4 linked regions of the Pelodiscus sinensis genome follow. The protein of the gene in region 1 purifies or fractionates together with the protein of each later gene. This does not show direct contact. Links are inferred from orthologs where the notes say so. Each region holds a gene or a part of one and is shown on either strand. Other genes may lie near its edges.

What was found.
Region 2: the proteins of KEAP1 (region 1) and NIBAN2 purify together in Homo sapiens (affinity purification with mass spectrometry; 3 studies listed by BioGRID and IntAct, with this or other methods). This does not show direct contact. The link is inferred for Pelodiscus sinensis from reciprocal best matches to the Homo sapiens genes KEAP1 and NIBAN2.
Region 3: the proteins of KEAP1 (region 1) and MAP1LC3A purify together in Homo sapiens (affinity purification with mass spectrometry; 3 studies listed by BioGRID and IntAct, with this or other methods). This does not show direct contact. The link is inferred for Pelodiscus sinensis from reciprocal best matches to the Homo sapiens genes KEAP1 and MAP1LC3A.
Region 4: the proteins of KEAP1 (region 1) and TSC22D4 purify together in Homo sapiens (affinity purification with mass spectrometry; 4 studies listed by BioGRID and IntAct, counting the BioPlex papers as one, with this or other methods). This does not show direct contact. The link is inferred for Pelodiscus sinensis from reciprocal best matches to the Homo sapiens genes KEAP1 and TSC22D4.

The regions. Positions count from the first base shown.
Region 1 is NW_027465991.1:323,335-331,197, forward strand, and holds the start of KEAP1 (kelch-like ECH-associated protein 1), read right to left. Parts: upstream 3,001-7,863; 5' UTR 2,962-3,000; coding exon 2,845-2,961; intron 386-2,844; coding exon 1-385. UniProt on the Homo sapiens protein: Substrate-specific adapter of a BCR (BTB-CUL3-RBX1) E3 ubiquitin ligase complex that regulates the response to oxidative stress by targeting NFE2L2/NRF2 for ubiquitination.
Region 2 is NC_134732.1:4,580,184-4,587,770, forward strand, and holds the start of NIBAN2 (protein Niban 2), read right to left. Parts: upstream 3,012-7,587; 5' UTR 2,526-3,011; coding exon 2,471-2,525; intron 1-2,470. UniProt on the Homo sapiens protein: May play a role in apoptosis suppression. May promote melanoma cell invasion in vitro.
Region 3 is NC_134728.1:35,700,643-35,708,387, reverse strand, and holds the start of MAP1LC3A (microtubule-associated protein 1 light chain 3 alpha), read right to left. Parts: upstream 3,012-7,745; 5' UTR 2,876-3,011; coding exon 2,836-2,875; intron 1-2,835. UniProt on the Homo sapiens protein: Ubiquitin-like modifier involved in formation of autophagosomal vacuoles (autophagosomes). While LC3s are involved in elongation of the phagophore membrane, the GABARAP/GATE-16 subfamily is essential for a later stage in autophagosome maturation.
Region 4 is NC_134734.1:8,743,745-8,751,692, reverse strand, and holds the start of TSC22D4 (TSC22 domain family protein 4), read right to left. Parts: upstream 3,012-7,948; 5' UTR 2,527-3,011; coding exon 1,948-2,526; intron 885-1,947; coding exon 730-884; intron 1-729.

The sequences.
Region 1 (7,863 bases):
TGAGCCGCTCCATCACCCTGGGGTGGATGCCCTCGATGGGCACCACCTCCATGGCCTGCTCCCGCAGCCCCGTGGTGAACATGGCCTTGAAGACGGGGCTGGAGGAGGCCAGCACCACCTTGTGGGCCTGGAAGTCGGCCGGGGGGGCGTCCTGGTAGCGCACCCGCAGGGTGACGTCGCAGAGCTGCTGGCTGAGCCGCAGCTGGTTCATGATGCCGAAGGCCTGCTTGGTGTGCTCCTCCAGGGTGTAGCTGAAGGTGCCCTGCCCGTGAGGCGACGGCGTCACCTCCGCCTTGCACTCCGGCGCGTACATCGCCGCGGGGGGAGGGGCTAGGCCGCCGGGGGGCACCTTACTGAGCCCGGGGGCACCGCAGCAAAGCCACACCTGCGGGGGAGACGGGCTTAGGAGGGGGCCCGGCTGGGAGCGCGGGGGTCTCTCCCCACTGGGCTGCCGCAGCCCCCAGCGGGCCAGGCCGGGGGGGCCACCCCCCCAGCCCCGGCTCCATTCCTGGGGGCTGGCTCCAGCGTTAACGAGGCAGAATCACTGCTAACGAGGGCCCCGCTCGGAGGTAGGCCAAGGACTGGAGCGCGGAGGCCAGGCACAGCCAAGGACACGGGGACTGAGCCTCAAATCAGCGGGGTTGGGGAAAGGGTCCTCAGGGTCAGAGCTCACCCCCGGCTACCCTCCGTGCAGCCCCCCCAACCCTGCCAGCCCCCCACAAGTCCCCAGCGTCCCCCCATGCAGCCCCGTTCCCCCAGCAGTCCCCCCAGCCCCCAACAAGCCCCCCAGGCGGCCCCCTGTTCTGCCCCCAGCATCTCCCCCATGCAGCCCCGTTCCCCCAGCAGGCCCCCGGCCCCCAACAATCCCCCAGGTGGCCCCCGCTGGATCCTGAGAGGTTTGGTAGGGAGGCTGTCAAGTGCCGGCACCCAGCACGGCCGTGCTGCTCCTGCCCTCTGCCTTGGAGCTGCCCCCACCCCTGGGAGCCTCCTGCTCACTGCGCAGGGCACGGGAAGAGGAGGGGGTGCTGATGTCAGGCTGTCCCTCCCCCCACCCTGTACCCCAGCTCCACAGAGCAGAGGGGGGCAGGGTTGGAGGGAGTTTGCTGGCTGCTTTTGGGAGTGGTGCAGGGCCAGGGGAGGGGAGAGCCTGCCTTGGCCCCCTGCACCACCCCCCAGTGCCCAGCTGGAGCCAGCTCTGAACCCCTGCCCCCCAAATCCCTGCCCCCAGCCTGATAAAAGTGAGTGAGGACGGGGGAGGGAGCAGGGCGGGGCCTTGGGAAAGGGGCGGGGTCAGGGAGTTTGGGTTTGAGGTGGATCCTGGATTACACTTCAATTCTAAAAGTGATCTCGTGCTTTAAAAGCTGGAGACCCCTGCCCTAGAAACAGACATGTCCTAGGGCCATAGGGCCTGGGTCACAGCTGGGGGGCACCCGCCGGGCCAGGCACGCCCAGTCTCTGCCCCAAAGAGGCCGCAGTCTGGCGGCCCCAGGTGTCGGAACCAGGGAGGGAACCCCGGGTGTCCTGAGTCCCAGCCCAGTGCCCACACCACGCGGGCACCTGGGCTCATGCAGCGTCTGCTGTGAGCGCAGCTCCTGAGCCCGGAGGCCAGGGACAGATCCAGAAAATCCCTGGCCCAGCCCAGCTCTGCCCTGCCGGCTGCCTGAACTCGTCCTGCCACCCAGCCTCCGCGTCCTGGGCCCCATGCAGCTCACAGACCAGGGGAGCACCCTGCCCCGCCCGCCTGCTCAGCAGGGCTCATGCTCCCTCTCTAGGAACTCCCCATAGGTGTTATCAGTGCAGGGCCTATGACACAGCTGAGCTGTTCTGATGCTATTCAGCAGAGGGCAGCGGGCACCTCCCTCACCCCCCTAATTACCACAGTACCATGATGCCATTGCATAGATGGGGAAACTGAGGCACAGCCAGGGGAAGGAGCTTGCCTAAAGTTACAAGTTGGGGAGGGCGAGGAACAACATGACTCTGTATCCCCGCCCTGCTAGAGCACCCCCTCCCTGATGCCAGGACAGCCCTCACCAGGGAGCTATCCATCCTGCAGCCACCAAGGGGGGGGGGGGCTGGGGTGAAGGAGGCCAGTGGGTGGCCCATCCGGGGACGTGTTGCAATTTCAGGGATGCAGCCAGAAATGGAAAACATTGACCAGAGCCCGCTGCCCCCCCCGCCGCCTGCCTGACAAGGGAGCTGGGCATGGGGGGCTCTAAACAAGGTCCCTACGAGGGGGAGCTCAGTTCCAGCAGCCCCTAAGCCTGGGTCCCGCCTGCTCCCCCCCAAGACGCTAGAGCCAGCGAATCGGCGACACCCCCGCCCCCAGCTGTCACACGCAGGGACTTCCTCGGACGCGTGTGTGCGGGGGGGGTGACCCCAATCCAGGAATAACCCCCCAATCCAGGCTCGTGGCAGGCCGGTGGAGCGATAAGCAGAAAGGCCGGGGGGGGGGGGGAGTACTGGTCCCCGATCTAGGGCAGTGACCCCCCGTGAGAGCTACACATGCACAACCCCCGCCCCCGCCCCATACACCCCAGCCCCCAAACAGCTGACTAAAGCGACCCAGACAAAGCGCCACATGGGCCGGGGGGGGGGGGCTCGGCCGCAACCCCCCCCCCCCGTTTTCCTTCCTCCCGCTTCCAACTCAATGGCGCCCCCACAATTCATCCACTCCAGGGCCCTACCCCCCACTTCGGGGGGTCCCTGACAGTTCCGGGAGGGCCCAGCTAGTGAGAGCACCTGGGGGGGGGGCTTGTGCAGCAGGTCCCCGGAGCCCGGGGGCGGGTTCCCCACAAGCCCGGGGGGGGGCGGGGATCCCCTCTCTCCGGGGGGGTCACTAACCCAGACATGGCCCCGGCCCTCCTGGTTCGCCCGCTCGTCCCGGCTGGGCCCGGCTCGGCTCCTCCATGGCGCAGGCAGGGCTGGGGGGAGGGAGCGGCGCGGGGGGGGAGTCACCATGACTAAGCAGAGCGCGGCCGCTGTCAGAATAAGAGTCCCCTGGTTTCCACCCGCCCCCCCCCCCAGTCCCCGGCCGGATGGAACGCGGCGGCCCCAGCGTTCGGGTTCGAGAACGCGGCGGGGAAGCGGCGCATCCGCTCCGGCCTGGGGGCAGAATTAGGGCGCGGGGGGGCGCTGCAGAGGATGAATGGGGGGCGCGGGATGACTGGGGGAGATTAGGGGCAGAGCCTGGGGGAGGCACAGAAGGGGGGCGGGGTGGCTGGGACGGAAGCAGGCTGGGGCAGGGGGAGCAAAGGTAAGGGGGGGGCCCTCTCTCAGCCTGCCCCGTCCCTTTCAGTTCTGGGGGGGCCCTCTCTGGAGTAAGGGGGGGCCCTCTCTGGGGTAAGGGGGGCCCCTCTCTCAGCCTGCCCCGTCCCTTTCAGTTCTGGGGGGGCCCCTCTCTCAGCCTGCCCCGTCCCTTTCAGTTCTGGGGGGGCCCTCTCTGGAGTAAGGGGGGGCCCTCTCTCAGCCTGCCCCGTCCCTTTCAGTTCTGGGGGGGCCCCTCTCTCAGCCTGCCCCGTCCCTTTCAGTTCTGGGGGGGCCCCTCTCTCAGCCTGCCCCGTCCCTTTCAGTTCTGGGGGGGCCCCTCTCTCAGCCTGCCCCGTCCCTTTCAGTTCTGGGGGCCCCTCGCTGCCTGAGCTCTCTGGGGCAGGGCCCACGGAGCCCTGGGTGCTATGAAAGAACAAGGGGGGGCTGCTGCCCTTTGCCCTCCGCCTGCCCAGCCCGGAGAGGCTCCGGGACTTTGTACCGGACAGGGAAGGTGCCCTGCCTCCAGGCGCTCCTAGGACTCCCTGGGGAGCAGCGACTGGCCTGTGCCTCTGTGTGGAGGCCCAAGTGCAATGAGTTTGCAGGGTCTCAGCCCCTTTTGTGGCCCAGTGGGCACCAGCTTGCTCCACTGAGCTGCCATAGAGAGGCTCCTGGGGCTGCGTGTTCTGAGAGCGACCCTCCGCCATCTGGGCCCTTCCACCACGGCCCATGGCAGCTGCATCTCAACTGGGGCGAGGAATCCCTGTAAAACCGTCTCCTCACCCACCCCAGAAGTGGCTGCATCACAACAGGGCTGCAGTGGAGACAGCGCCCCCCTCGGGGACAGGTGCAGAGGTGGCACTCGTGTAGATAAATCTGTGTATTGTATATTGCGGCATGTGACTTGGCATGTGCCTCTCCATAGAACCGTGTCACTTTGTATTAGAACCCGACGTAGAAAACTGAATCTACAGTTAAAGTGGTAAAAATGTCATTTGCTAGGAGTAGAATAAGATTTTCCCCCTACTCCCCCCCCCCCCAATCAGTTGCCCTGTTGAATGAACGAGGTGTGAATGAGTAAGACTTGGGAGCCCAGCCCCTCCAGAGAGCTACCCCAGTTGAAGAGGGGGTGGAAGCCAGACCCAAGCAGACATATCCACCGCCTTGGGGATTAGAAGCAAGCACCCTCTTTGGAAAACACCCTCTCTGAACAGACAACACCCACAAAGGGACCAAGGGACACAGACCCAGAGTTTGAATCTGGGATCTATTTGCATAAGAGGGAAGCTGCTATAAAAGTGAGGTGTCTTGCAGAGGACCCCGGGTTTCGTCTAGTCACCATCGGAGCATCGATCCGGATCAGCAGAAGCCCGGCTCCACCCCTCCCCCATCTAACTCACCTGGCCAGTGAAGTTAAGGGGAGCAACTCGTTGGTAACAACAGCAAGACGGAGAGTGTGTGTGTGTGTGTGTGTGTGTGTGTGTGTGAGTGACATATATGTATCATGTCCATATGATAAGTGTTGATTATTCTATGTGTGATCAGTAAATGTGGCGTGTTGCCTTGTCCCTCTGAAAAAGATCCCGAGTGCTTCTTTTAAGTACAACACTCGTACCAGGTGTTTCCCAGGCTCCTGCCTGGGCGTCTTTGCACCCCGGCGTCAGGCCCCACAATCATGGATCGGAGGTGGAGACACATTTGGTGTTCACACAGGGCTCAGCCCTGGTTCCTGCGCCAAGTGCTGCCCTGGGCGGCCGTTTCCCGCATGGGGGGGTGTAGCTCAGGAGCCAGGGAATCACTGGCAGGGCACTCAGCTCCAGGCCCTGCCTTGGCTCTGCTCTTCTGTGTCTCCCTGAGCTTGCCCCCAGGCTCCCCCCTTCAGCCCCCCCAAGTGGATCCCTCTAACTCTCAGCTCTGAGTGGTTTGTGCCCCACCCCCAGCTGCCGCCTGGCTCCAAGTGCGCGAATGTAGCTCTCCCAATCTCCCCTCCCTAGTCCCCCCTTCCAGCGCCTCTCAGCTGGGTCCCACTCGCCGGGCCTGGTGCTTTGCTGGGACGCAGGACTCCTGGGTTCTCGCCCAGCTCTGGGAGGGGAGGGGGTCGCCGGGAGCCAGGGTTCCATGCGATGCTTTCTGGCTGGGTGACGCAGAAGGCACGTGACTTGGATTTTCACACTTGCCGCTGAGAAGGTCTCTGTGCTAGAAATCACCTGGGAGCCCCCCAGGGCACCTCTGCTAATCCCCAGGGGCAACCCCGTGAGCACCTGTCCCAGCCGCCAGGTGGCTGCAGCAGCTGCGCCCCTCTGGCCTGGAGCCTCTGGAGTACGGGGGTTCCAGCTGCGGCCCCCTGCTGTCGGCACCCCAGAGCGCCTGCTAATGCCTGGGACCGTGCCTCACCCCCAGCCGCTGGGATGCCCAAGGACCCGCTGCCCCCCCACCCCCGTGGGAACAGGAAAAACTCCCTTGTTGCAGGAGCAAGGCCGGAGGGCAGGAACCCCAGAGCTCAGCACCTGTGTCTGGCTTTTCCCGGAAGGTTTGAACACTGCCAGGGCAGAGGGAGGCCTGACGTGGGGCAGAAGGTGTTGGCCGGGAGGGGCCCTTTCGGCCCTCCTGTTCATGGAATTGCCTGGAGGGTTCAAACCACAGAGAGCGGGGCCTAGAGAGGCTCTGGGACACCGGGAAGCAGGAAGCCGGCCAACCAATGGGAGCAGAGCGCAGGTTTTTGAATGGGAAGCAGCGACCTGGTCCAGTCTGTGTAAGCAGAGCTGGGCCAGGGGCCAAGCCAGGGAGCCGGATCCAGAGACATCCGGGTCTAGGGAAGGGCTGAGTCTCTAAGCACCAGGCAGCGAGTAGAGCAGGGACGAGCCAGTCGGACGCCATCAGGTTGTTTTTATGGTGGGCTCTGCTGGGTCTCTCTGGGTCCACTCCCTGGACCCCCGCTCTGCTCGAACTCTCCAAGCCAAGTCCCAGGGAAGCAAGTCGGGGGCGTGACTCTGGTTTGGTTCTGGCTGCTCTAACGCCCCGCGACCAAGGAGCGTCTTTCATTTGATCCTGAAATCCCCGTTTTAACGCCGGGGGCTGATTCCTGCGCCCTAGAAGGCCGGCGGATCTGTGACTGAAAGGTCAGCTATGGGGTGGGGGGGGCCTAAGGCTTGCCCGGATCCAGCCCTGGAGGCTCGGGGCGGCCCCCTTGCCCCGTTCCCCCCTGTGGGGCTGGAGCGCACAAAATCTACAAGCCTGGGCCTGACTGATTTTTCTGTGGGTCACTGACCTAGAAAAGGTTCCCCCCCCCCCCGCATTAAGGACAATTATAGGGGGTTTCAGGCTCCAAGAGCTCAATGAGCCCCACAGGAAGAAATTTCCAAGTGTATCTTCCTGGGTTCTCAAAGGGGCTTTTGCATTTGGGGGGTGGCAGCAACAGGCCCCGGGAATCTGTGACTTCAGGGAGGTTTTTCAGCAGAAAACGTTAAGGTCCTTTGCAGGCCCCCCCCTTCTCCACACACAGTGGCAGCGTGGAGGGCAGCCTTGGCATGCTGGTGGGATTTTCAAGCAGGTCACAGACCTCGGGACCCCCCCCCCCGCTGTTTGGGGGTTTTCCCTTTTGCTGCCTGAGGCGGGAGAAGACGCGCTAAAGGCTCAGCCGGCAAAGCCAGCGCATCCAAACCAAACCACTTCGCTTGGGTTTTTTACAGGTTGCAACTGGACAGCTCGGCCGGCGTGGGGCAGGCAAGCGCCCAGCACGTGTGTTTCCGGGGGGCAGAGCAGCCCTCGAGCAACTAACCCCCCAAAGCGGCGCACCAAGGGCGGAGCAGCCCCGGATGCCCAGAGCAGGACTGAGGAACAGGAGAAGGTCCCCGGGGGCAGGAGCAGAGGGTGATGGCCCAGTCCCGGCCGTGCCGCAGACACCCAGGGGGCTCTGCCGAAGGAGATGAAGTTCTTCCTGCAGGTGGCGCGCTTAAAGCTTGAGGCAGAGAAGGAAAAGCTGAGGCGCTGGGAGCTGGAGCAGGCGGAGAATCCGGCGGCGCCAGCTGCCCCCACTCAGCCCCCGGCTCCCTGGCCCAGGAGATACCCCGCGAATCGGGCCAGAGACGACCTGGAGATCTTGGTGGATTTCGAAAGGAGCTGCCTTGGGTACGGCGTCCCCAAAGGCCAGGACCTGGTGGAGCTGCGGCCGCAGCCCAGCGGAGTCTCCGCACAATTCGCCACTGAGCTGCCAGAGGGACACGGGAACGGCTACGAGCGTTTCAAAGCGGCGGCCAGGCTGCGGCTCACGCCCGCTGCTGCTTCCGGGCCCTCCGGCGGAGCCCGGACGTGAACAAGCTTCACTTCGCCTACGAGGGCAAGAGGCACGGCGAGGCCTGGCTGGCCAGGGCGAACGTCCAGACGCGGGAAGAGCTCGGTGTGACGTAGTGGGGGGTAACCTGCTAACTCTCTGGCTGCTGTCTATAGCACCACTGAGCAGGCAAGCGATGAGTCACTATGCAAAGAGGGTATCCCAACTGGTTTGGCCAGCTGACCCCCATGGAGAGGAACAAAGGAAGGTGGATGCGGCCCTGGCTGGGGGGCGGGGCTGGAGGAGAGTGAGTTAGTTCCTGTCGGGAAAGCAGGGAAGAAGGAGCT
Region 2 (7,587 bases), on another chromosome or scaffold:
AGCAGTAGATTTGGGGTGGAGACCCTCAGGCCCGGGGGCTGGCTGTGGCCCCCCCACTTGCCTGAATCCAGCCCCCAAGGTTCAGGGCTCCCCCCAGCATTGGGGAGCCCGTGCTGGCGCTCCAGCCCCACCCACCACCCAACCAAAATCTACTAGACTGGGCCCCCCCCAGGCTCTGGTGTGCCAGGGGAATGTGGGGAGCATTTTTCTCCCCACTCAGGAGCCACGTCAGTGAGGGTTTTTTGGGCAGGGGATTTCTCATTTGCATGTGGAACCCAATTGATTTTTCTGTGGGTCCATGGTCCCTGCCCCCCAAAAAAGTTCCCTGCCCTGATTTAGGAGCTGAAACACACACTTGAAATTGGAGCACATTTTAACAGTGTCCATTTAAAAAAAAGGGGGGGGGGAAGAGGTAAAGGGAAGCCAGATCATCTGCTTTCCTACAAAGAGACCAGGCTAATAAAATCAACTTCCCTCACTCCTTGCTTTTAACAAGCTAAAGCCCCATTTGTTATAGTCTCCCTTTAAATAGTGTTTGGCCCACATAAAACTTCATGATTCACAGAGATGAATAGGAAGCTTGACAATACTTTACAGTAAGTGACAAGTCATAATTTCTCTGGTATTCAGCAACGCAACACCATTAGTCACGTTGTGAGCCTCTGATAGTAACACAGCTGCAACGCACTGTTCCTCTGGCATTTTAACTGTAGCTTTGGATGAAGTGACCACTCCATTAGAAATGGGGGGGGAGGGGGAAGGCAGGCCATAGTTTTCCTCCAGGGAGTGAGGTGGCCTAGTCACCTCTGACTCGGTTTGGAGTTTCCAAGGTATTTTGGTTCTCCGATGGGAGAAGCTGGTTAGGTCCTGTGCCATCGTAGCCGCGTCTCCAAGTGCAACTTGATTTGTGAAGTCCGGGGGTCCAGTTTAAGCACTTAACTATTACGGCTCACAGCGCCTCCAAGAAGCCTCTGTTGTCACTGTAATTGAAGCCTACGAAAGGCAGGGACAGAGGTCAAGTCCTGCAACTCAGAGGCCTTTGGGGGCTCCAATGTCGACCTCATAAATTATGAGGCGTCCCAAGAAAAGAGGGCGACACAGAGGCCAAGTCACACTGCTCAGTGGCAGGCTGACCCCACTTACAAAGGTCAATCAAGTAACTGCAGGCACCAATTAGTCCCCCAGCCTCTGCGCAGTCAGATGCCATCTCCACGGACAAAAAAGCAACTGTACAGAAGCCACAATCCCGTGCTTAGACAGGCCACTCCAAGCCGGGCTAACCAGAAACCCTGATGCCCAAGTCCAAGAGGAATCTTTAAGTCAGACACATCAGACTGAGAGACCTACAACATCAAGAGTAAACGCAGGGCAATCAATAGCTGCATTGTCACTTCTCTAGACTCCAAGGCCCGACATTTCAGGAATAGGAGTTCAGCGGGCGGTAGCACTTTGCCCAGCTCCCTACTCAAAAATCCATTCACTACCAAAGTTATCAGAAAGGAGACACAACAGATATTAAAGCCAATAACTATGCTTGATCTTTGTCAACAAAAGCCAAGACGCAATACAGGGCAGCTGCAGCCTGGTCTGCACAAGAGGCAAACCCATTGCTGGCCTAGGTCCAGAGGCCAGATCTGCAATCCTAGCCACACCGGCAGCCCTCTGTGCCCAGCAGTGTTTCATGTAAGCTCTCCCCCTCAGAGATTCAAATGCCACCTAGCTGATTAGCAGAGCTCAAACAGCCTCCAGAGCAACATATGTTTCTAATGGTGGTACACATCCACACGTGCCTCAGTGCACATAACAAAATTCATTCTGCACATGGGGAAAACCCACAGGATTGGGACCCAAGAGGTCTCCCCTTCAACCAATGGCGAACATGGCTTAAGGGCTGGTGGAGGGAACAACACTTCTCCACATCAGCCTCCCAGAGAGCTGTTCCCCTTCCTTCCCCCTGCCCACAGAAGCCCTGGCCACACCAGGGCTGTTCGCCTGAAGCAAATCCCTTCTTCCTGCAGCCAACGCAAACAGCCACCGCACAAGTCAAGCCTTTCAGAGGGGAGGCAGACACTTCTTTGCCCCGCTCCCCCTTCCGAGCCAGGCTGCTTCCAGCTCTGCGGAGGAGAGCCCCGGAGCTGCAACGTGGAACTTTTCAAAAAAAGTTTTAAGGCGTTAAAACAGGCGCCCCTAGCAGGGAGGGGAAGGAACCCCAGGCGGAGAGGGGGCTACACCGGGGTGCTGCTTGGGGGGAGGAGGGATTCCTCCTGCCCCCCGCTCACCGACACACGCTTGGGAACGGCCCCAAACAAACATCCTGCTACTTGGGGGGGGGGGAAGCAAAAACAACGGAGAAAGTTTCCTCCAGCCACGGCCAGCTCCTTCCCACGCACGCCGCCTTCCACAGCGCAGCCAGCGCCGGGAAGGGGGCCCCCTCCAGCCGGCTGGGAACGGCCCGGCCCCGGCCCCTTACCTGAGATGTAGAGGCGCCTGCTCTCGTCCAGGTGCGTGGAGATGACAGCGCCCATGGCGGCCGGGGCGCGATGCTCACGGGGAGGGAAGCGCAGCGGGGGGCGCGCACCCCCAGGCGGCTTGCGAGTCCCACGGGGGTCTCCGGGCCGGGCCACCAGTCCGCTGCGCTCGGCTACCGCCGCTCCATGGGCAGGGAACCAGCCTCGCTCCTCCCAGCCGAGGGAAGCCCTGGGCGGGCTGCAGCCGAGACACTCCTGCCTACGTCCTCCCCCCGCCCCGGGCCACACCCTGCGCGCAGCTCCGGGGCCTGGGCGCGGGGTCCTTGCCGGACCGCGAGTTCCTGCTTCCCGCGCGGGTGGGGGCTTGTAAAACACCGTCCCGGGCCGCTTCTCAGAGGCCTTCTCCGGCGAGGGTTTGGGAGTGTCACGGGAAAGCCTCCCCCTTATCGAATGACTGCCCAGGCCTTTGCTAACCACTAGCCCACCTGGCCCCCCGCCCACGTGGGACCGCTAGGAACCTGCAGCCCCCGGGGAGGCCTTTGTCGGGGAAGCTGATTCCTCCCTGCAACTAAACAGGGCTTTTCTCTTGCACCCAGGGGCCTCCCTGCCCCTCCAGCTGCTCAAGGGATCTTCCGGCTCCTGCTTGGCACTTGGCTTGATTTCTGACATTGCCTCACCTGGGATTGCAACATTTACCCAGGCTTGTATAATTCCCCCCTCCCCCAACTGTGCCCAGCCATAAACCACAGCCTGGACTCTTTCCTCGCGCCAAGGTGCATCTGGTACTCACCAAGGCTACGTCTACACTGGCATGATTTTCCGGAAATGCTTTTAACGGAAAAGTTTTCCGTTAAAAGCATTTTTGGAACAGAGCATCTAGATTGGCACAGACGCTTTTCCGCAAAAGCACTTTTTGTGGAAAAGCATCCGTGGCCAATCTAGACGCGCTTTTCCGCAATAAAGCCCCGATCACCATTTTCGCGATCGGGGCTTTTTTGCAGAAAAGAAATCTCAGCTGTCTACACTGGCCCTTTTGCGCAAAAGGGACTTTTGCCCGAACGGGAGCAGCATAGTATTTCTGCAAAAAGCACTGATTTCTTACAGTAGGAAGTCAGTGCCTTTGCGGAAATTCAAGCGGCCAGTGTAGACAGCTGTCAAGTTTTTTCCGGAAAAGCGGCTGATTTTCTGGAAAAACTGGCCAGTCTAGACACAGCCACCATGGGTAACATTGGACATCGCAGCAGGGTGTGGGTTTGCTTTGCTACAAACCCTCCTCCTTCCCTGCTTTTCCCCACGGTCTAGCCTGTCTGAGCCTCTGCTGCTTGGCCCCTTTCCGGCTTAGTACAGCAAATGCAGGACTTAAACCAAATACCCCTCTCCGCTGACTTGGGCAGTGCCCAGGAATGGGCTCTCCACCCACAGAGCCATTCACTGCCCCTGTCCCAACTCCTGCATCTCCACTCCGACCCAGAGGCAGCCTAGGGGCCCGAGGGTTGGCCCGGCCTGGGGAAATCGGTGTCGCACCAGTGCAAACCCTCCCATGCAGACACACTGCACTGGGCTGTCCCACTGCAGTGGGCTCCGCACTGGGCTTCTGTAATGGGGGCAGGGCTTCGATTTCTGTCCAGGGCCCTTTGCTGAGGGTGCGCTGATGTGCTCTTAAGGGAGCTGGGTCCCCAGGAGAAGCCAGATTTCACCCCAGGCTGCAGTTCTGGGGCCGTACTGGGCTCAGGCCTGGCCCCGTGCAGTGTCCCCCTCTTGCAGGAGGACAGACCTGACACAATGGCCATGTGACCATCCCTCCGGGGAGCCCTTGGCGCAGAGAGACGCAGGGGCCCTGCCCAGGAGTGGAGGTGGTGGGAGTGTGGCCAAGGAGCTTGGCCTTGGCTGCTGGAAGGGCCTGCAGGGAGCTCTTGCTTCTCACCAGCCAGAAGGCAGAGCAACCTTGCGGCTGCTCTAGCTAGTTGAGGGCCTGCTCCAGACTGCAGGATGTCACGCACAGACCTTTGCCTCCCTGGGCTGGGTTCAAGGGCTCGGCCTCTCACAGGTATTTGGGTCCCTACGTCCTGCTGAAATTGGTGGGTGTTAGGATCCGGCCAGTGAGTCTGAGTTTATATGGGAGTGAGTCGGGCTCAAGGACAAAGCTGTGAGGCCTGAATTTTTCCTGGGGGTACTGCTTGCCTCCGGAGGCAAGGGGAGTGTTTCTGGCCCAGCGTGACTGCTCTGTGTACAAAACGTCCTGTTTATCCCCTCTGACACCGCTTTTCTTGGCACACCGAGCTCGGCAAAATTCCTCAGGCGTCTGCGAACACCCTGGCAGGGCTGGAGGGAGCTGGAGAACGAGCCCGGCTGCCTGCCCCACATTCATATCCAGTGGGGATGGTGCCTGGGGTCACCACCTCTCTGCGCTGGGAACAGGGCTGCCCAAACCCAAGTGTTCTCGCAGCCGGGGCCCGGGTAAACAGCACCCGCCCAAAACACACAGTGCGGAGAGTGTGCGCGCGCATTGTGCAATGCAGGGCTGCAGACCTGCCCGGCCTGTGCTAAAACACGCCACCCTGGGCGGGGAGGGCGAAGCCCTGCAAGGAGGCAGAGCCGGCCGGTCGGCTGCTTCTGGGAAACCTGCTGGTTTGGTCTGGGAAATCTGCAGCAGAGCAGTCGGCTCCATGACATACGGCTGGGCACTTCCTACATGGGGATTCAGTCTGGACCCGATACCCTGCCCCCGCCCGCCTTTAGGAGCCATTGCCCCTGTGTGAAATAAGGTAGCTGAGAACCGAAGGGGGGGGGGCTGTTCCCCCTGCTGCATATTTACCATCCCTCCAGAGAACTGGGGCTAGAGGTGTGACACATGGGGGTCACAGCCACCGGCCACCAAACCTCTGGCTCTCAGTGGGAGAGGGGAAATGGATGAGCGGGTTCTGGCCACTTGTGGCAGCCGCTATCCTGGCCCAGCAGTGCGCAGAGAGGGGACCTGCAGGGCTGGAGAAGTAGCCCAGCTGCCCACCCCACACTCACGCCCAGTGGGTCCGGTGCATGGGGTCACACAGTGCTACTCAGGTGTGCCCCTGGATGGAGTGAGGAGGCAGGCCCAGCCCTGAGGGACAGGAACTGCCGTTGCTGGGGGCTCGCTCTCTGGCCCCGTGTGAAAAGGCACCTCACGTGCTGAAGGTCGCTGTGGGGAGCAGCCCCCTTCCCCTGTTAGCGCCGCTGCTGTGTGAGTCTCCAAGCCTTGAGCGAAACGACAGCTCTGCAGGCCGAGCTGGGCGATGGCTCTGCCAGCCACCACTAGAGGGCGCCTGCACCAGTGGGCGTGGCTTACAGATGCAAAAGACTCCACCCGCCACCACCCGTCCAGGGATGCCCCGCCGCTGGGGCCATCTGGGAGCTGGCCTACCAGAAAGGGGTGAGTGGCCAAGGGACCTCACAATCCAGCCTCACACTCGCCACTGACTTAGTCTTCAGTGTTGAGTGCTGCAGAAGCCCATGGCCCAATGGCCTTGGAGACGGAGCCTCGTTCTCCCTCAAGCGCGGCTCCGTGGGGGGAGTTGGCCCTGCCACACAGGCGTGGGACTGCAGACTCCACCACCGTCCAGCCCACGCCCACTAGCAGATTTATTAAGCTCTCTAGGTGGTCTCACCGCTAGAGAGCAACACAGCCTCACCCTCTTAGTCTCGTCTTTCTGGCCCTTCCTTAGCAATGGTTGTTAGACACCCACCCACCCTGGCCTGCTGCCTGGTCTGATGAGGCTGCGTTTTCCAGGTCATGTTTCCAAATCAAGCATCCTCTCTCTCTGCAGCGGCTGGTCAGTGACCCAGCTGCCACTGGCATGCTGCTGATGACTCAGGATCACAGGGGAGTGAAGCAGCTCTGGCATTGTTCAAATGCCCCCTGCCATCACCAGCCCTGCTCCTCCTGACAGAAGGTTGCAAAGGACAGAATTTCCAGCTGAGCCCTTTTGTCAGCCTGGCTCTGACTGTGGTGGGTGCTTAGCAGAGCTGCGGGGAAGCCAGAATTTCTATTTGGGGAGGGGCAAGGGGAAATCCTGTGACTGCAACATTTCTTTGTGCTGAATCTGAATAAAAACAACGGATTTAGACATTTCCACTAACAAAACTTCCAAAACACCCTTCATTTTGTGCCAAAGAAATGGGTTCTACATACACAAATAAAATCAAAACATTCTGTTTTATTGTTCACATTTACAATGTTCTATCATATAAAATAATTTGCAAAAAATGAAGCGTCATCCCAAAAAACAAAACCACTAAAAGCAGAACTCTCCTCTCCAAAAAAGTGGCCAAGCCAAAAATTTCATCCTGGTCAAAATGCTGATTTGGAAAAAAAACAGAAAACAAGCATGTTCTCGTGGGCTGTTGAAAAAACAGCGTTTTCTGATGGAAAAACATTCCGTCTGAACATTTTCAACCAGCTCTCGTCTAGTACTCAGTCCTTGGAAATCTGGCCCTGAATTCTTACGAAAACCTCGTCCCAAAGGCCTAAGAATTTGCTTACGACTGTATATTGGGCAATCACAATTCATGTCAGGATCACAAAGGTCAGCACATTTTTGTTAAGCTTTTCGTAGGTGAGAAAGGGTTCCGTCGGTCAGTGATCAGTCAAGATGCACAAATGCCAAACCAAGCGTATATCAAGCTCTTTGGATCTTCCTAATTCTAGGTCCCCTTCTTCTCCATTTCCTTCTGTTTTACCCCCACTCATTGCAGCATGTGTGAAATTAATGAAGTTTATTGAAAATTAGTTGTTTTTCCGATAGGATTTTTTTAATCCATTTTTATTAAAAATGTGGATTTTCATTTCCCCCCCTTTTCTCTCCCATTTTTCTTCCTTCCTCCTTAAGTTTTTCCAAATAAAAACGTTTCAATTTGGAATAAAAAATGTCCTTTTCCAACCACTGGTCCGACTGGGAATTAGCTCTGTCCTCAGCAGGGCGCCCCCTTCTGGCCATGGCTGCTCCACTCTCTCCTTGATCCACACCACTTCCAAGACCACAGCATCCTCTTCAGGACACTGCTGTCCGGCAGCACCCACCACACTGGTCTCCACCCCCTTCTGGCGGTAGCAGCAGTCCACAGCCTCGCGCCTGCCACTGTGGCC
Region 3 (7,745 bases), on another chromosome or scaffold:
AACAGTTGATACTGGACTTGGGGTGGAAAACTTCTAGTACTTACAGCATGACAAATTACTGTCTATGGAAAAAGGATTAGGAAAAAGAAGCTTCAGATGTTCACAACCCTAGATGAAACTAACTAGTCGCTTCCCCCCACACCTTGCTGCCTCTATCAGAAAGAGAAAGAAGACTAGGGGGTGCTTCAAAGCAGCAGCACCTAGTGGAGCCCGGGGCCAGACCCAGGTCTATCCTGCTGACCCTGGGCTCCATGAGGCACTGCCACTTTAAAATGCTGTGAGGAGCACAGGGCCAATGGGGGACTGCTGGAGTTCCCCCGCTGGCTCCATGCTCCCTGCAGCGCTTTTGCCTTTAAAGTGTCTGTTGCTACACTTCAAAGGCAGAGGCACCCTTATCGATTAATCAATTAGCCAATTAATCCAATGTAACATCCCTAGTTTCATCAGCTTCCACCAATACGCGTTACTAACATTCCAGTCAAATCTTACATGTTTATGGTTATCTGAAGAAGTAGGCTGTGCCCATGAAAACTCACGATATCATCTATATACATGTTTTGTTAGTCTTTAAAGTGTTACCATGCTATTTGTTTTTTAAGTTTATCCTGTACAGACTAACTCGGATACCACTCTGAAGCATGTTTATGGTAGTTTATTGTTCTCTTGACTTCTGCACTGATCCAGCCTTCTTTCAGAGTCTGCCTATCACTATATTTTTAATTTTCTTCCTCCTATAAAATATCTGCACTATCATAGCACCTTCTGTGAATGGTTATGAAATACACTTGTGTTTGAAGCATTATATCTTCTGAACTTCAAAAATATTTTTAGGAAGAACAGTATTTTGAACAAGGAATACTTTGATACCAGAAGGATCTTTAAAAGGAAAGGAATTATTCATCTCACTAGGGTTGAAAGGATGGCACACATACTCAGGTAATAAAGGCTTAATGTATTGTATGGCTGAAAAGTGGCTGATCAATTTCAAAATGCTTTATAAAGAGGAATAAGCAAATTAGTCCTATTTTGCCAACTGGGAAACTGAGGCACTGAAATCACAACAATTTGGTGGTACATGCAAATCTCCTGGGTCCCAATCAGGTGCCTTATCCACTAGAACAATTTAAGGTAGGCCTCTTGCTCATGGTAAGCCACTCACTCACCGGTCCCCAATTAGGGACAAACATGGTAAGGTTTTCAGAAGGACAAAGACCTAAGTTCAAATATATAGGAATACACTAAACAGAGTAAGAACCCCCCCCCCCACCACCACCTTTCCCCTTTTGTGCCAGTTATTTAGAGCAGCATATACTTAAAAATGTATACAATAATCTGTACGATTAATCTGCACATACGATTACTACCACCATATTCACACACAAGGAAGGTGCATGGGTGTAACTGCAAACACAGAGGTCATTTGTTTTTGCAGATACACAGAACTATCATAATTGCACCGAACACATTTCTGCACAAAATGTTTGTAAGTCTAGCTCCCCAAAGCTTGTTTATGTATTAGCAATGGGATTCAAGCCAGAACAACTCCCATAAGCTTAGCAAAAGATGGATCTGAAAATTACAATTCAGACCCATCTTGAAACTAAAGTTTTCCAAGCCTCAATGTGTATTTATTACCTACATTCTTAAGTGCCCATCATCAAAATTCCTGGATTCCAATTATCCATCAGCATTGGGACATACACGGTCATAAATGGAGGCTTATGAAAACTTTACATAAAGCAATTAACTCTCTTCCCCCAAAGCAAAATACTTAAGAAAAATTACTGCTCTGCATTAGTCATTTATCCCCTAGAGGAGAAAACAGGATACAATATAAGCCTATCTTATTAATATTTGCCTAAAAAGGTCATACAAGATCAAAACTATCACTTATTTCTAACAATACGAAACTAAATTACATGAAGTTAAATTAACCTCAGACATAAAACCAAGCATGCCTTCCATTACTATCAATAGACTGTATTTACAGCAGGTTCATTTATAGCACAGATTTCTTTCCTATATTACATGGTGAGCAAAAGAACATACTGCTTCTCACACATTTCACCAATCACGTCAGTGACAACAGACGAGATAGAAATGTAGCCATAGAAATGTAGCCGTGTTAGTCTGGTGTAGCTGAAACAAAAGACAGGGCTATGTAGCACTTTAAAGACTAACAAGATGGTTTATTAGATGATGAGCTTTCGTGGGCCAGACCCACTTCCTCAGATCAAATAGTGGAAGAAAATTGTCACAACCATAGATACCAAAGACTCTCCATGATTTGAAAAGCTTGTCTTACACCTTGACGGACTGCCTGCTGGGATTGAAAGGGAAGCTTTTGGAGGGCATCAGAAATAGACAGGCTAGAATCCTGCCATGTTTGCTTAATCAACCTCTCTCTGGGAGGGGGAGGAGGTGGCTGAGAAAAACACACACATGACTGGACATGTAGCAAGAGTCACGTGCCATCCCAAAGCCGCAGGAGCAGTGCTCCCCACTGACTGTTAAGACCGCTAATTCCCGCCGATGGGTTCTGCAGGCTCCTGGGGCAAACCAGCATTTCCTTTCGCTTGATGCAGGGGTGACATCACCGCGGGGCGGGGCTGCCAATTCCCTCCGGCTCCCCCCGCCCACTCAGCTCCAACCCCAACAAAGCGAGGGGCTCGCCCCGCCCAGCCCCCGCGAGCCACTGGCCGCCACGGGGCGCCCCGCGGGCCTGAGCAGGGGCAGCCTCCCTCAGAGCCCCGGAGCGCGGCGGGCGGGTCCCGCTCAGCGCCCCATGGGGGGGGGGGGGTCGCGCTGCCCCCTCCCGCCGGGCCCCGCACTCACCGAAGCTGCGGCGCTGCTTGAAGGGCCGGTCGGACGGCATGGCTGCGGGGCCGCTCGGACCAGGGGCTCCTGGGGCAGGTGCCCGGGCCGCCCGCTCAGCGCCTCAGCCGCCGTCTGGCGCCCAGGCTCCGGCAGCAACTGCCTGCGGCCAGCGAACGGCGGTGACGTCACCACCCAGCCCTTAAAGGGGAGGTGCAGGGCGCTTTCGGCCGACACCCGTCCGGTGCAGTGTTCCCGCCCCTATTCGTCCCCGCCCCGCCCCCCGGCTTGCCCTCCCCCGCGAGACCCCAGCCTCGGCCCCCCCGCCTCAGACCTCCACTTCCCCCTCCATCGCCCCCCCGCCTCCGACCTCCACTTCCCCCTCCATCCCCCCCCCCGCCTCAGACCTCCACTTCCCCCTCCATCGCCCCCCCGCCTCAGACCTCCACTTCCCCCTCCATCGCCCCCCCGCCTCAGACCTCCACATCCCCCTCCATAGCCCCCCCGCCTCAGACCTCCACTTCCCCCTCCATCCCCCCCGCCTCAGACCTCCACTTCCCCCTCCATCGCCCCCCCCGCCTCAGACCTCCACTTCCCCCTCCATAGCCCCCCCGCCTCAGACCTCCACTTCCCCCTCCATAGCCCCCCCGCCTCAGACCTCCACTTCCCCCTCCATCGCCCCCCCCGCCTCAGACCTCCACTTCCCCCTCCATCCCCCTCCCCCGCCTCAGACCTCCACTTCCCCCTCCATCGTCCCCCCCGCCTCAGACCTCCACTTCCCCCTCCATCCCCCCCCGGCCTCAGACCTCCACTTCCCCCTCCATCGCCCCCCCACCTCAGACCTCCACTTCCCCCTCCATCGCCCCCCCCGCCTCAGACCTCCACTTCCCCCTCCATAGCCCCCCCGCCTCAGACCTCCACTTCCCCCTCCATCCCCCCCCCGCCTCAGACCTCCACTTCCCCCTCCATAGCCCCCCCGCCTCAGACCTCCACTTCCCCCTCCATCCCCCCCGCCTCAGACCTCCACTTCCCCCTCCATAGCCCCCCCCGCCTCAGACCTCCACTTCCCCCTCCATCCCCCCCGCCTCCACTTCCCCCTCCATAGCCCCCCCGCCTCAGACCTCCACTTCCCCCTCCATCCCCCCCGCCTCCACTTCCCCCTCCATAGCCCCCCCCGCCTCAGACCTCCACTTCCCCCTCCATCGCCCCCGCCTCAGACCTCCACTTCCCCCTCCATCGCCCCCGCCTCAGACCTCCACTTCCCCCTCCATCGCCCCCCCGCCTCAGGCCTCCACTTCCCCCTCCATAGCCCCCCCGCCTCCACTTCCCCCTCCATCGCCCCCCCCGCCTCAGACCTCCACTTCCCCCTCCATCGCCCCCGCCTCAGACCTCCACTTCCCCCTCCATCGCCCCCGCCTCAGACCTCCACTTCCCCCTCCATCGCCCCCCCCGCCTCAGACCTCCACTTCCCCCTCCATAGCCCCCCCGCCTCCACTTCCCCCTCCATCGCCCCCCCGCCTCAGACCTCCACTTCCCCCTCCATAGCCCCCCCGCCTCCACTTCCCCCTCCATCGCCCCCCCCGCCTCAGACCTCCACTTCCCCCTCCATCGCCCCCGCCTCAGACCTCCACTTCCCCCTCCATCGCCCCCGCCTCAGACCTCCACTTCCCCCTCCATCGCCCCCCCCCGCCTCAGACCTCCACTTCCCCCTACATCCCCCCCCGGCCGCCTCAGACCTCCACTTCCCCCTCCATCCCCCCCCGCCTCAGACCTCCATTTCCCCCTCCATAGCCCCCCCGCCTCAGGCCTCCACTTCCCCCTCCATAGCCCCCCCGCCTCACACCTCCACTTTCCCCTCCATCCCCCTCCCTGCCTCAGGCCTCCACTTCCCCCTCCATAGCCCCCCCGCCTCAGACCTCCACTTCCCCCTCCATAGCCCCCCCGCCTCAGACCTCCACTTCCCCCTCCATCCCCCCCGCCTCAGACCTCCACTTCCCCCTCCATCCCCCCCGCCTCAGACCTCCACTTCCCCCTCCATAGCCCCCCCGCCTCAGACCTCCACTTCCCCCTCCATAGCCCCCCCGCCTCAGGCCTCCACTTCCCCCTCCATCCCCCCGCCTCAGGCCTCCACTTCCCCCTCCATAGCCCCCCCGCCTCACACCTCCACTTTCCCCTCCATCCCCCTCCCCGCCTCAGGCCTCCACTTCCCCCTCCATAGCCCCCCCGCCTCACACCTCCACTTTCCCCTCCATCCCCCTCCCCGCCTCAGGCCTCCACTTCCCCCTCCATCGCCCCCCCGCCTCAGGCCTCCACTTCCCCCTCCATCGCCCCCCCGCCTCAGACCTCCACTTCCCCCTCCATAGCCCCCCCGCCTCAGACCTCCACTTCCCCCTCCATCGCCCCCCCGCCTCAGACCTCCACTTCCCCCTCCATAGCCCCCCCGCCTCACACCTCCACTTTCCCCTCCATCCCCCTCCCCGCCTCAGGCCTCCACTTCCCCCTCCATCGCCCCCCCGCCTCAGACCTCCACTTCCCCCTCCATAGCCCCCCCGCCTCACACCTCCACTTTCCCCTCCATCCCCCTCCCCGCCTCAGGCCTCCACTTCTCCCTCCATAGCCCCCCCCGCCTCAGACCTCCACTTCCCCCTCCATAGCCCCCCCGCCTCAGACCTCCACTTCCCCCTCCATCCCCCCCGCCTCAGACCTCCACTTCCCCCTCCATAGCCCCCCCGCCTCAGACCTCCACTTCCCCCTCCATCGCCCCCCCGCCTCAGACCTCCACTTCCCCCTCCATAGCCCCCCCCGCCTCAGACCTCCACTTCCCCCTCCATCGCCCCCCCGCCTCAGACCTTCACTTCCCCCTCCATCGCCCCCCCGCCTCAGGCCTCCACTTCCCCCTCCATAGCCCCCCCCGCCTCAGACCTCCACTTCCCCCTCCATAGCCCCCCCGCCTCAGACCTCCACTTCCCCCTCCATAGCCCCCCCGCCTCCACTTCCCCCTCCATCGCCCCCCCGCCTCAGGCCTCCACTTCCCCCTCCATCCCCCTCCCCGCCTCAGACCTCCACTTCCCCCTCCATCGCCCCCCCGCCTCAGACCTCCACTTCCCCCTCCATAGCCCCCCCGCCTCAGACCTCCACTTCCCCCTCCATAGCCCCTCCGCCTCAGACCTCCACTTCCCCCTCCATAGCCCCCCTGCCTCAGACCTCCACTTCCCCCTCCATAGCCCCCCCGCCTCAGACCTCCACTTCCCCCTCCATAGCCCCCCCGCCTCAGACCTCCACTTCCCCCTCCATCCCCCCGCGCCTCAGACCTCCACTTCCCCCTCCATCCCCCCCGCCTCCGACCTCCACTTCCCCCTCCATCGCCCCCCCGCCTCCGACCTCCACTTCCCCCTCCATCGCCCCCCCGCCTCAGACCTCCACTTCCCCCTCCATAGCCCCCCCGCCTCAGACCTCCACTTTCCCCTCCATCCCCCCCGCCTCAGACCTCCACTTCCCCCTCCATCCCCCCCGCCTCAGACCTCCACTTCCCCCTCCATAGCCCCCCCGCCTCAGACCTCCACTTCCCCCTCCATAGCCCCCCCGCCTCACACCTCCACTTCCCCCTCCATAGCCCCCCCGCCTCACACCTCCACTTCCCCCTCCATAGCCCCCCCGCCTCACACCTCCACTTCCCCCTCCATAGCCCCCCCGCCTCAGACCTCCACTTTCCCCTCCATAGCCCCCCGCCTCACACCTCCACTTCCCCCTCCATCGCCCCCCCCGCCTCAGACCTCCACTTTCCCCTCCATAGCCCCACCCGCCTCCACTTCCCCCTCCATCGCCCCCCCGCCTCAGACCTCCACTTCCCCCTCCATAGCCCCCCCGCCTCAGACCTCCACTTCCCCCTCCATCGCCCCCACCGCCTCAGGCCTCCACTTCCCCCTCCATAGCCCCCCCGCCTCAGACCTCCACTTCCCCCTCCATAGCCCCCCCGCCTCAGACCTCCACTTCCCCCTCCATCCCCCCGCCTCAGACCTCCACTTCCCCCTCCATTGCCCCCCCGCCTCAGACCTCCACTTCCCCCTCCATCCCCCCGCCTCAGACCTCCACTTCCCCCTCCATAGCCCCCCCGCCTCAGACCTCCACTTCCCCCTCCATCCCCCCGCCTCAGACCTCCACTTCCCCCTCCATAGCCCCCCCGCCTCAGACCTCCACTTCCCCCTCCATCCCCCCCGCCTCAGACCTCCACTTCCCCCTCCATCCCCCCCCGCCTCAGACCTCCACTTCCCCCTCCATAGCCCCCCCGCCTCAGACCTCCACTTCCCCCTCCATCCCCCCCGCCTCAGACCTCCACTTCCCCCTCCATCCCCCCCCGCCTCAGACCTCCACTTCCCCCTCCATCCCCCCCCGCCTCAGACCTCCACTTCCCCCTCCATAGCCCCCCCGCCTCAGACCTCCACTTCCCCCTCCATCCCCCCGCCTCAGACCTCCACTTCCCCCTCCATCGCCCCCCCCGCCTCAGACCTCCACTTCCCCCTCCATCCCCCCCCGCCTCAGACCTCCACTTCCCCCTCCATCGCCCCCCCGCCTCAGGCCTCCACTTCCCCCTCCATAGCCCCCCCCCCCGCCTCAGGCCTCCACTTCCCCCTCCATAGCCCCCCCCGCCTCAGGCCTCCACTTCCCCCTCCATAGCCCCCCCCACCTCAGGCCTCCACTTCCCCCTCCATCCCCCCCGCCTCAGGCCTCCACTTCCCCCTCCATCCCCCCCGCCTCAGACCTCCACTTCCCCCTCCATAGCCCCCCCGCCTCAGACCTCCACTTCCCCCTCCATCGCCCCCCCCGCCTCCGACCTCCACTTCCCCCTCCATCCCCCCCCCCGCCTCAGACCTCCACTTCCCCCTCCATCGCCCCCCCGCCTCCGACCTCCACTTCCCCCTCCATCGCCCCCC
Region 4 (7,948 bases), on another chromosome or scaffold:
CTCTAATCAGGCATGATTTTAGTTAGTCAGATGTCCTCTTATGCGTGTGGCCAAGTTTCCCACAGTCCCATACAGTTTATTTACAGCCACCAGTCCTGGCTCTCTGTGTTCGGTGCTGTTATTTAGTTCTAATTTGCCTCTAAATATCTTCTAAGAGCCCAGTAAGCAGGGGAAGTGTTGGTGATGCTGCTAGATAATATTGACCTCCTATTGTTTGGAAAATTCTCTGGTTCGGCACCAGTCAGGTCCCAAAAGTGCAGGACTAGAGAGGTTCAACCTGTAGTTTGTTATTGTAGAGTCTACTAGAAGGAACGTGGCAATGGTTTGCTATTGGAGTATTTCTATGATTTACACAAGCACACACACACACAGGCCTGCCGCCAGCCTGGCCCATTGCCAGGATCCCTCCCTGTTCCTCCCCCCAGGCCTGTGGGCCCCACACCATCCCCTCTCCCACTGCCAGGATCCTGCCCCCAACTTCCCCAGTGCAGGCAATACAACTGAGTCACATCCGCTGCCAGCCATTCAAATGCAACTTCCCCTCCCCCAGCTTCCTTCCTCTTCTACTGCTTGCATCTCCCTCTGTCCCATTCAGTCCCCGCATACTGCTCCACCACATGGCAGCCCCTTCACCAATCGTCCCAGCACTCCCCCTCCCCCGACCATTCACTGGCAAAACAGGAAGTCCCACCCTCCACCAGGCACACTGGGCAGGAAGTCCCACCTCACCTGTCATCATCGCTGTCCTGGTGTCCCCCCATGGCAAACATAGATCGGGCCAGGCTGAGACGTGCACCAAAAGGGTCCGACGCTTTTCGAACAGGGCTCCCTTCCCGAAACAAGGGGAGGGCTGGGGAGGAGGGGCGGGAGCTTCGCAGTGGAACCTGTAGAGGAGACATCATAATGGAGAGAGGCCAATGAACAAGGTGGAGCAGAAGGGACCCAGGCATCCTCCCTTGCCCCCACATGCTTCAGTGGATGCTGCCAATGGCTCCGCATCCCAAGGACAGCATTGGGCAGCTGCAATGGGGCCTGAATGCCTGGGTTCCTTCCATTCTTTCCCTGCCCACCAGAGCCTGGGGGGCAGTGGGCAGATGAAAATCACCCCTTTTCCGTCATGGTGATGAGAAAGGAGGAGGCAGCCGGGGAGGTGTCAGGGCCCAGAACCTGACCCCCCTTCCCTGGACCATACATCCTGCTGAAGGAATGTCTCTCTGGGACAAAAGGTTAGATTCATGAGATATCTGTGGGTCTGCCTCTACTTTGTGGGGCTGAACTGGCTAGGGGTTCCTCCATCAGACCCATGGCCCAGTCGGCCTGAACCCACCTCCAATGCCAGATGCTTTCAGAGGAAATTTCTGCAATGCACCTCACTATATCACAGCACAGGAGAAGGTGGCCCTCAAACCTTACCCCATTAACTTCCATTACCCCCAGCCGAACTGTCAGCCCAGCCAGCATCCAGTGGTGGGGAGTTCTGCAGGCTGATGCAGCCCCAAGTGGTAGGAGGTCATTGGAATCAGGGTGATTGCAGGTCCAAAGGGAAGAGATGGAGCCAGGTGTGCAAGGAGCTGTCCCACCACTGCTATCTCCTCCCTCTCCAGCCACCACCCGTTTACTACCCCATGCGCACCAACAACCCTCCACCTCCTCACCAAATGCTTGTCAATCCCCCTACCCTCTGGGGAGGGTATCCTAGTGGAGACCCCACCTATCTGGTGCAGGGGAGACATGGCTCCTAATATGGTTCAGAATTAACCCACAGGACTACCTACTGCAGGATTTCCACTGGGGATCTGATCGGCGAGGGGCAGGTAGAGTCAAGACTGGACTAGCCCACAGGCTGATGCAAAGGGCCAGATACAAGGTTAGATGGGCCTGTGGGGTGGCTTTCTACCACGTGGGTCTCCGTGGTCCCATGAAACCCAGGCATCTGGCCCCCTTTACCTTGTGCCTCTCCTCCACCTCCCTCCGGATGCGCTGGGCGAGGCTCTGGGGCAGCAGCAGCTCTTCCACCCCCACGCCCGATTCCCCAGGCTCAGCACTGGCCCCATCACTCTGAGCTCTGCCCCCTGGAGTTCTCTCCCCACCTCCCAGCGAGCGGGGCAGGTGCTCGCCAGGCAGCGTGGGCCAGGCTGTGCCCTGGGAGTGGCCATGTCCGCCCCAACGCGCCAGCGGGGGGCTGAAGTAGCCATGGGGCTTGGGGGCCAACCCAGCAAGCTCCAGGCGGGAGTCAAGAGACTGCGGGTGCCGGGCAGCGGCCAGGAGCCGCCCCACCACCTGGTGCTCCGGGTCCCGGTCGTAGAAATCCAGGCAGGTCCAGCGTCCCCGTTTATATGGCTCCCCAAGGCCCTGGTCCAGCTTCACCACCCGGAAGCGGGAGGCAGCGGTGCTGCCGGGTGGCACCGAGGGCCCGTTTCTGGGCACGGTTGCATCCTCTGGCAGCTCCATGGCGGGTGGCGCCTCCTGCTGTTCGTACTCAGTGGTGATGCTGGTGATCTGGAAACTGCTCTTCTTTCTGCTCATGGTCCTGCTCCCGCGCCAGCTCAGCGGGGCCTAGGCAGCACCGGGCCAGCACCAGGCTCTCGGGGCGGTGACATGCCTGCGGGCAGCTGGGCAAAGGGGGCACCACCAGGGGCAGGCAGGGCAGCCCCTGGGGTGCTAGCTCGCCTGGAGGTCAAGGGTCCTGGGGCAGGTTACAGGTCATGAGGAGCACACTCCCAGGAAGGGGGGCGGTTTGGGGGGGGGCTGCTGGCATCCCCGCCCCTAGGCCCCCACCGTGCTGGGGGCAGCACTGGAAAGTTCCCTTAAGTTGGGCGCGTGCTGGGGGCAGGGGGGGCTGCAAGGTGCCCGGGGGTGGAGGGCGCACTTTTCCGGCAGGGGGTCTGGATTCTCTCTTCTGTGCCCGGGGAGCACCCCCCGCCCCAACTCCGGCCAGCGCCGCCGCCTGTTGACAAGTCCCCGCTCCAGGAAGTCCGGCCCCCGCCCCGACCAGCTGACTGCTCCCCCCCCCCGCCCCGTTAACCCCTTCCTGCTGCAGCGCCCCATTCCCGCCCCGCCCCTTCCTTTCCTTTCTCTTCCCTTCAGTGCTGCAGCGCCCCGGCCTGCCCGCCCCGCGGCAAGCGTCCCGCTGCATCTCCCCGCCCCCAGCACCGCCTCGGCCTGCCCCCTCTCCCCGCCCCTTTAACACTCTCCCTGCCGCAACCCCCACCCCGTTACCCCTTCCCTGCTGCAGCCCCCCCGCCCCATTAGCCCCTTCACTGCCACAACCCCTGTAACAAAGTGGAGATTGTAGTCACCCGATTGCTTTGTTGCACGTGATTTCTACTGTGCTGTACTAAGCCCTCGTGTGCCTCAGTTTCTCTGGGCACTACACCAATATCTAGACGATGGGAATTTCGGTGACAGCCTCCCCCACGAACACAATAGCTGATACTTTCTGCAACCTGAGCCTGGGACGGGGGTGTGACCAGGTCACGCCCTTTGTCCGAAGAAGCCGACCAAAAGCTGGAGGCGCGTCAGACTACAGGGCTGATACAGGCTGCTGAGGGTGTGAGCGAGTCTCGCTGGCTTGGGGTGCTAGGAAGGGAATGGGAGCCCTTGGCTCTGAGCCTCCTCTCCCCAGATGGATGGTGCTGGCTGCTTCTGGTTCCTGTGCTGACAAGTCTGTTCTGTGCTGTGTCCCTGTCACCTAATAAATCTTCTCTTCTACCTGCCATCTGAGTCACATCTGGCTGTGGATGGGGGTGCAGGGCCTGGTGGTTCCCTTCCCCTCGATAACAGCCCTGGCCCCGTTAACCCCTTCCCTGCCACTGCCCTGCTAACCCCTTCCCTCCTGCATTTTGCCTGGCCCCTTAACACAAGAACTTATCCCTGCAACAAACCCTGTTGCCAACTCTGTCCATACATCTACACAAATGTGCCAAAGGTTAAATGGACTCAAATGGATCACAAAGCAAGGTAACATACAAAAACCCTTAGAATATGTTAATCTCCCTGGATGCTCAGTAACAGATTTAAAAGTAGCATCCTTCTACCAAAAAAACTGCAGAAGCAGACTACAAAGAGAAACAGCACAGCTGCAAAATTCATTTGCAAATGTAAGGATCAAATTAGAAGTGAATAAGGACTTAGAATGGTTCTCCTACTACAAAGGCAATTTTCTCCCTCCATATTCACAGCTTCCCCATCAGCTGCTGGGACTGAGCACATCAACCCAGACTGAACTGGCCTCTTTAACACTGGTCTTACACTTGATAACGAAGGATGAGTCTACACTGTACAGTTATTCCAAAATAAGCAGGTTGTGTAGAGTACCCAAACTCCCTTCTTTTGATGTGCTAGTTCATCTGTATATATCCCTGCCTCTATTTTTCCATTCTATGCACCTCATGAAGTGGGCTCTACCCATGAAAGCTGATGCCCACATAAATCTGTTAGTACTTAAGGTACCACAGGACTCTGCCTTGTTTTTACACACATACACCAGCAGGAAATTGTCACAAGCTTGAAAGATGCTGCTTCCTCCTGCTGGTGAATGAGGGGAAAGCACCTCCCCTCCATGCCACTGGCCATGCCAAGCCCACCTAGATTCTAGGAGACAGAAACTTACTCAGGTAAGGGGACCTTATGCAACTGGCCATCCCACCCCAGAGGTGGCTGCATCCCAACACCAGGCAAGAGGTCCTTGTGAAATCAGCCACCCCACCCCAGAGGTGGCTGCATCTTAGCGCTGGGCGAGGAGTTCCTGTGTAATAGGCCACCCCACACAAGAGTTGGCCCCCTGGTAACCATCTGTTATGCCCTAGAAGTGGCTGCCTCTCACCACCATGGAGGTGTCCCTGTGTAACAGGCTGCCCCACTCCAGAGGTAGCCACATCTCAGTCCCAAGCAAAGTGGCCATGTGTAACCCCCTCCTCTGCCCCAGAAGTGGCAACATCTCAGTGCTGGGAGAGTTGTTCCTGTGTAACCGGCCACCCCACTCATGAGGTGACTGCATCTCAGTGCTAAATGAGAGGTTACTGTGTAACTGACAGAAAAGAGGAGACTAAGGTGGGATATGATAGAGATTTATAAAATCCACTGGTGTGAAGAAAGTGAATAAGGAAAAGTTATCTACTTGTTCTCACAACATGAGACTGAATGAGGGGTCACCAAATGAAATTAATAGGTAGCAGGTTTAAAACAAACAAAAGGAAGTATTTCTTCACACAACACATAGTCAATCTGTGGAACTCCTTGCCACTGGATGTTGTGAAGCTCAGGACTTTAACAGGGATCAGAAAAGAGTCAGATAAAATCATGGAGCATACTTATTAGCCAGTGTCCCTAGCCTCTATTTGCCAGAAGCTGGGAATGGGCAACAAGGGCTGAATCACTTGATGATTCCCTGTTCTATTCATTCCCTCTGGGGCACCTGCCACTGGCCACTATTGGAAGATATGATCCTGGGCTAGATGGACCTTTGGTCTGACCCAGTCTGACCATTCTTATGACAGTTCCATCCCACAGGTGGCCACATCTCAGCCCCAGATAACCAGCCACCCCCACATCTCAGGCTACTTTTAGACTACAATGTTTTATTAGAAAAGGGTATGCAAATTGCACTCTGCAATTTGCATACCTTTTTCTGATAGTTTTGTTGGAAGAGGCTTTTCCAAAATTTGGCCCATCCACAGTGGGCCAAATTTCAGAAAAACCTATTTTGGAAGAGCCCATAGAATGAGGAAGACAGGGCTTCTGAAAGAGTGTATGTGCTCTTCTGAAAAAAAAAAAGCGGAAGAGCAGACACATTCCCTGGATGCAGCAGAGTTTTTCCAGGATATCACGGAAAACCCACGTCGCCTAGACGGAACCTCAGTGCCTGACAAGATATTCCTGTGTAAACGACTTCCCAGCACTAAGATGCCACATCTCAGCTCCAACCGGGAGGTTCTCTTGTAACCAGATGCCCCACCCCACAGGTGGCCATGTATAAGTGCCAGGCCAGGTGTCCCTGTGTAACCATCCCTCCCGCCCCACAAGTAACTGCATCTCAGTGCTGGGGGAGGGGTCCCTATGTGACCAACCACCCACTCCAGAGAGGGCCACATTCCAGCTCCAGGCGAGGGGTCCCCTTGTGCCCCAGAGGTGGCTGCATCTCAGCCCTGGGTGAGGGTTCCCTGTGTAACCAGCTGTCCTGCCCCATCTGTGGCCACATCTCAGCCTAGGCGAGTTGTCCCTCTGGGTATATCTACACTACATGGCTCCATCAACGGAGCCATGTAGTGTAGACATACCCTCTGTGACCAAACACAGACCTTCAGAGGTGGCTGTATCTCAGCTCCAGGTGAAGGGTCCTGGTGAAACTGGCCACTCCCCATGCCCAGAGGTGGCTGTATCTCAGTATTTGGTGGTGGGTGCTGTAAGAGCTGTTACAGCAACACAGGGTGTGGTCTCCTGCCCTGCTTGGTCTTTGACTCTGGAAAAATAGGGTTCATGGTCCAGGAAACAGGGACACATGATGCCCCCCTCGCAGGCCAGTTCGCAGGCTCTGGGGATTCCTGGGATGATCAAATACAGTTCTCCGCCTATTGTGGGGTGGCAGTGAAGGGCAGCAGCTGGGTGGGGAGGGTGCAAGTCGGGAAGAGCACTGGGGGTGGGGGATCTGTGAGTCAGGAGTGAAGGGCACCAGTGGAGGAGCTGTGGGGGGAGTGAGGGGCACCAATGGAGGTGCTGTGGGTGTGGGAGTAAAGGGCACTGGTGGGGCGTGCTGTGGAGGGAGTGATGGGATACTGGTACGGGGATGTGGAGGGCATCAATTGGAGATTGCAAGGGGGAGTGAGGGATACTGGTATGAGGGCTGCAGTTGGGGGGAGTGAAGGGCATTGGTGAGAGGGTTTTGGGGGGGAGTGAGAGGCACTGGTGGGGGAGCTGCAGGGGGAGTGAGTGGCACTGGGGAGGATGCGGGGGGGAGTGAGGGGCACTGGTGTGTGGGGTGCGAGAGGAGTGAGGGGCACTGGTGAGGGGCTGCAGGGGGAGTGAGAGGCAGTGGTGTGTGGAGTGCGGGGGGAGTGAAGGGCACGAGCGTGTGGGGGGAGTGAGGGGCACTGGAGTGTGGGGTGCGGGGGGAGTGAGGGGCGCGGGGCGGTGCGGGGGGGAATGAGGGGCACTGGTGAGGGGCTGCCGGGGGGGAGTGAGAGGGACTGGTGTGAGGGGCACGGGGCGGGGCGGGGTGGGGGGAATGGGGGCACTGGTGAGGGGCTGCAGGGGGAGTGAGGGGCACTGATGGGTGGGGTGCGGGGGGGAGTGAGGGGCACTGATGAGGAGCTGCAGGGGGAATGAGGGGTACTGGTGTGGGGGTGCGGAGGGAGTAAGGGGCACTGGAGGGTGGGGTGCGGGGAGAGTGGGGGCACGGGGCGGTGCGGGGGGGAGTGAGGGGCACTGGTAAGGGGCTGCGGGGGGAGTGAGCGGCACTGGTGGGTGGGGCGTGGGGGGAGTGAAGGGCACGGGGGTGCGGAGGGAGTGAGGGGCACTGGTGGGGGACTGTGGGGACAGTGAGGGGCACCGCCGTCTCTCTCCCCGGCCTCCCCCCCCCACGTTTCTCCATCCCCGGCTGCGGGGGGGCGGAGGGAGGCGCCGCGGGTTGGACGCTGCGTCAGCGGCAGCGGGATGGGGCGAGCGGAGCCGCGGGAGCCGAGCCGGGCAGGTACCGGAGCGTGCGGGGCTAGGCAGGGGTTGGGGGATGTGTGGGGCAGGGAAGTGAGCTGGGTGGGAGATGTAGGGGGCTGGGTAGGGGGCTGGAGAATGTGGGGGGCAGGGGAGGGGTCTGGGTGGGGGATGTAGAGGGCTGGGGGATGTGGGAGGCAGAGAAGGGAGCTGGGTGGGAGATGTAGGGGGCTGGGCAGGGGCTGGGGCATGTGGGGGACAGGGAAGGGGGTTGGGTGGGAGGATGTGGGGGCTGAGATGG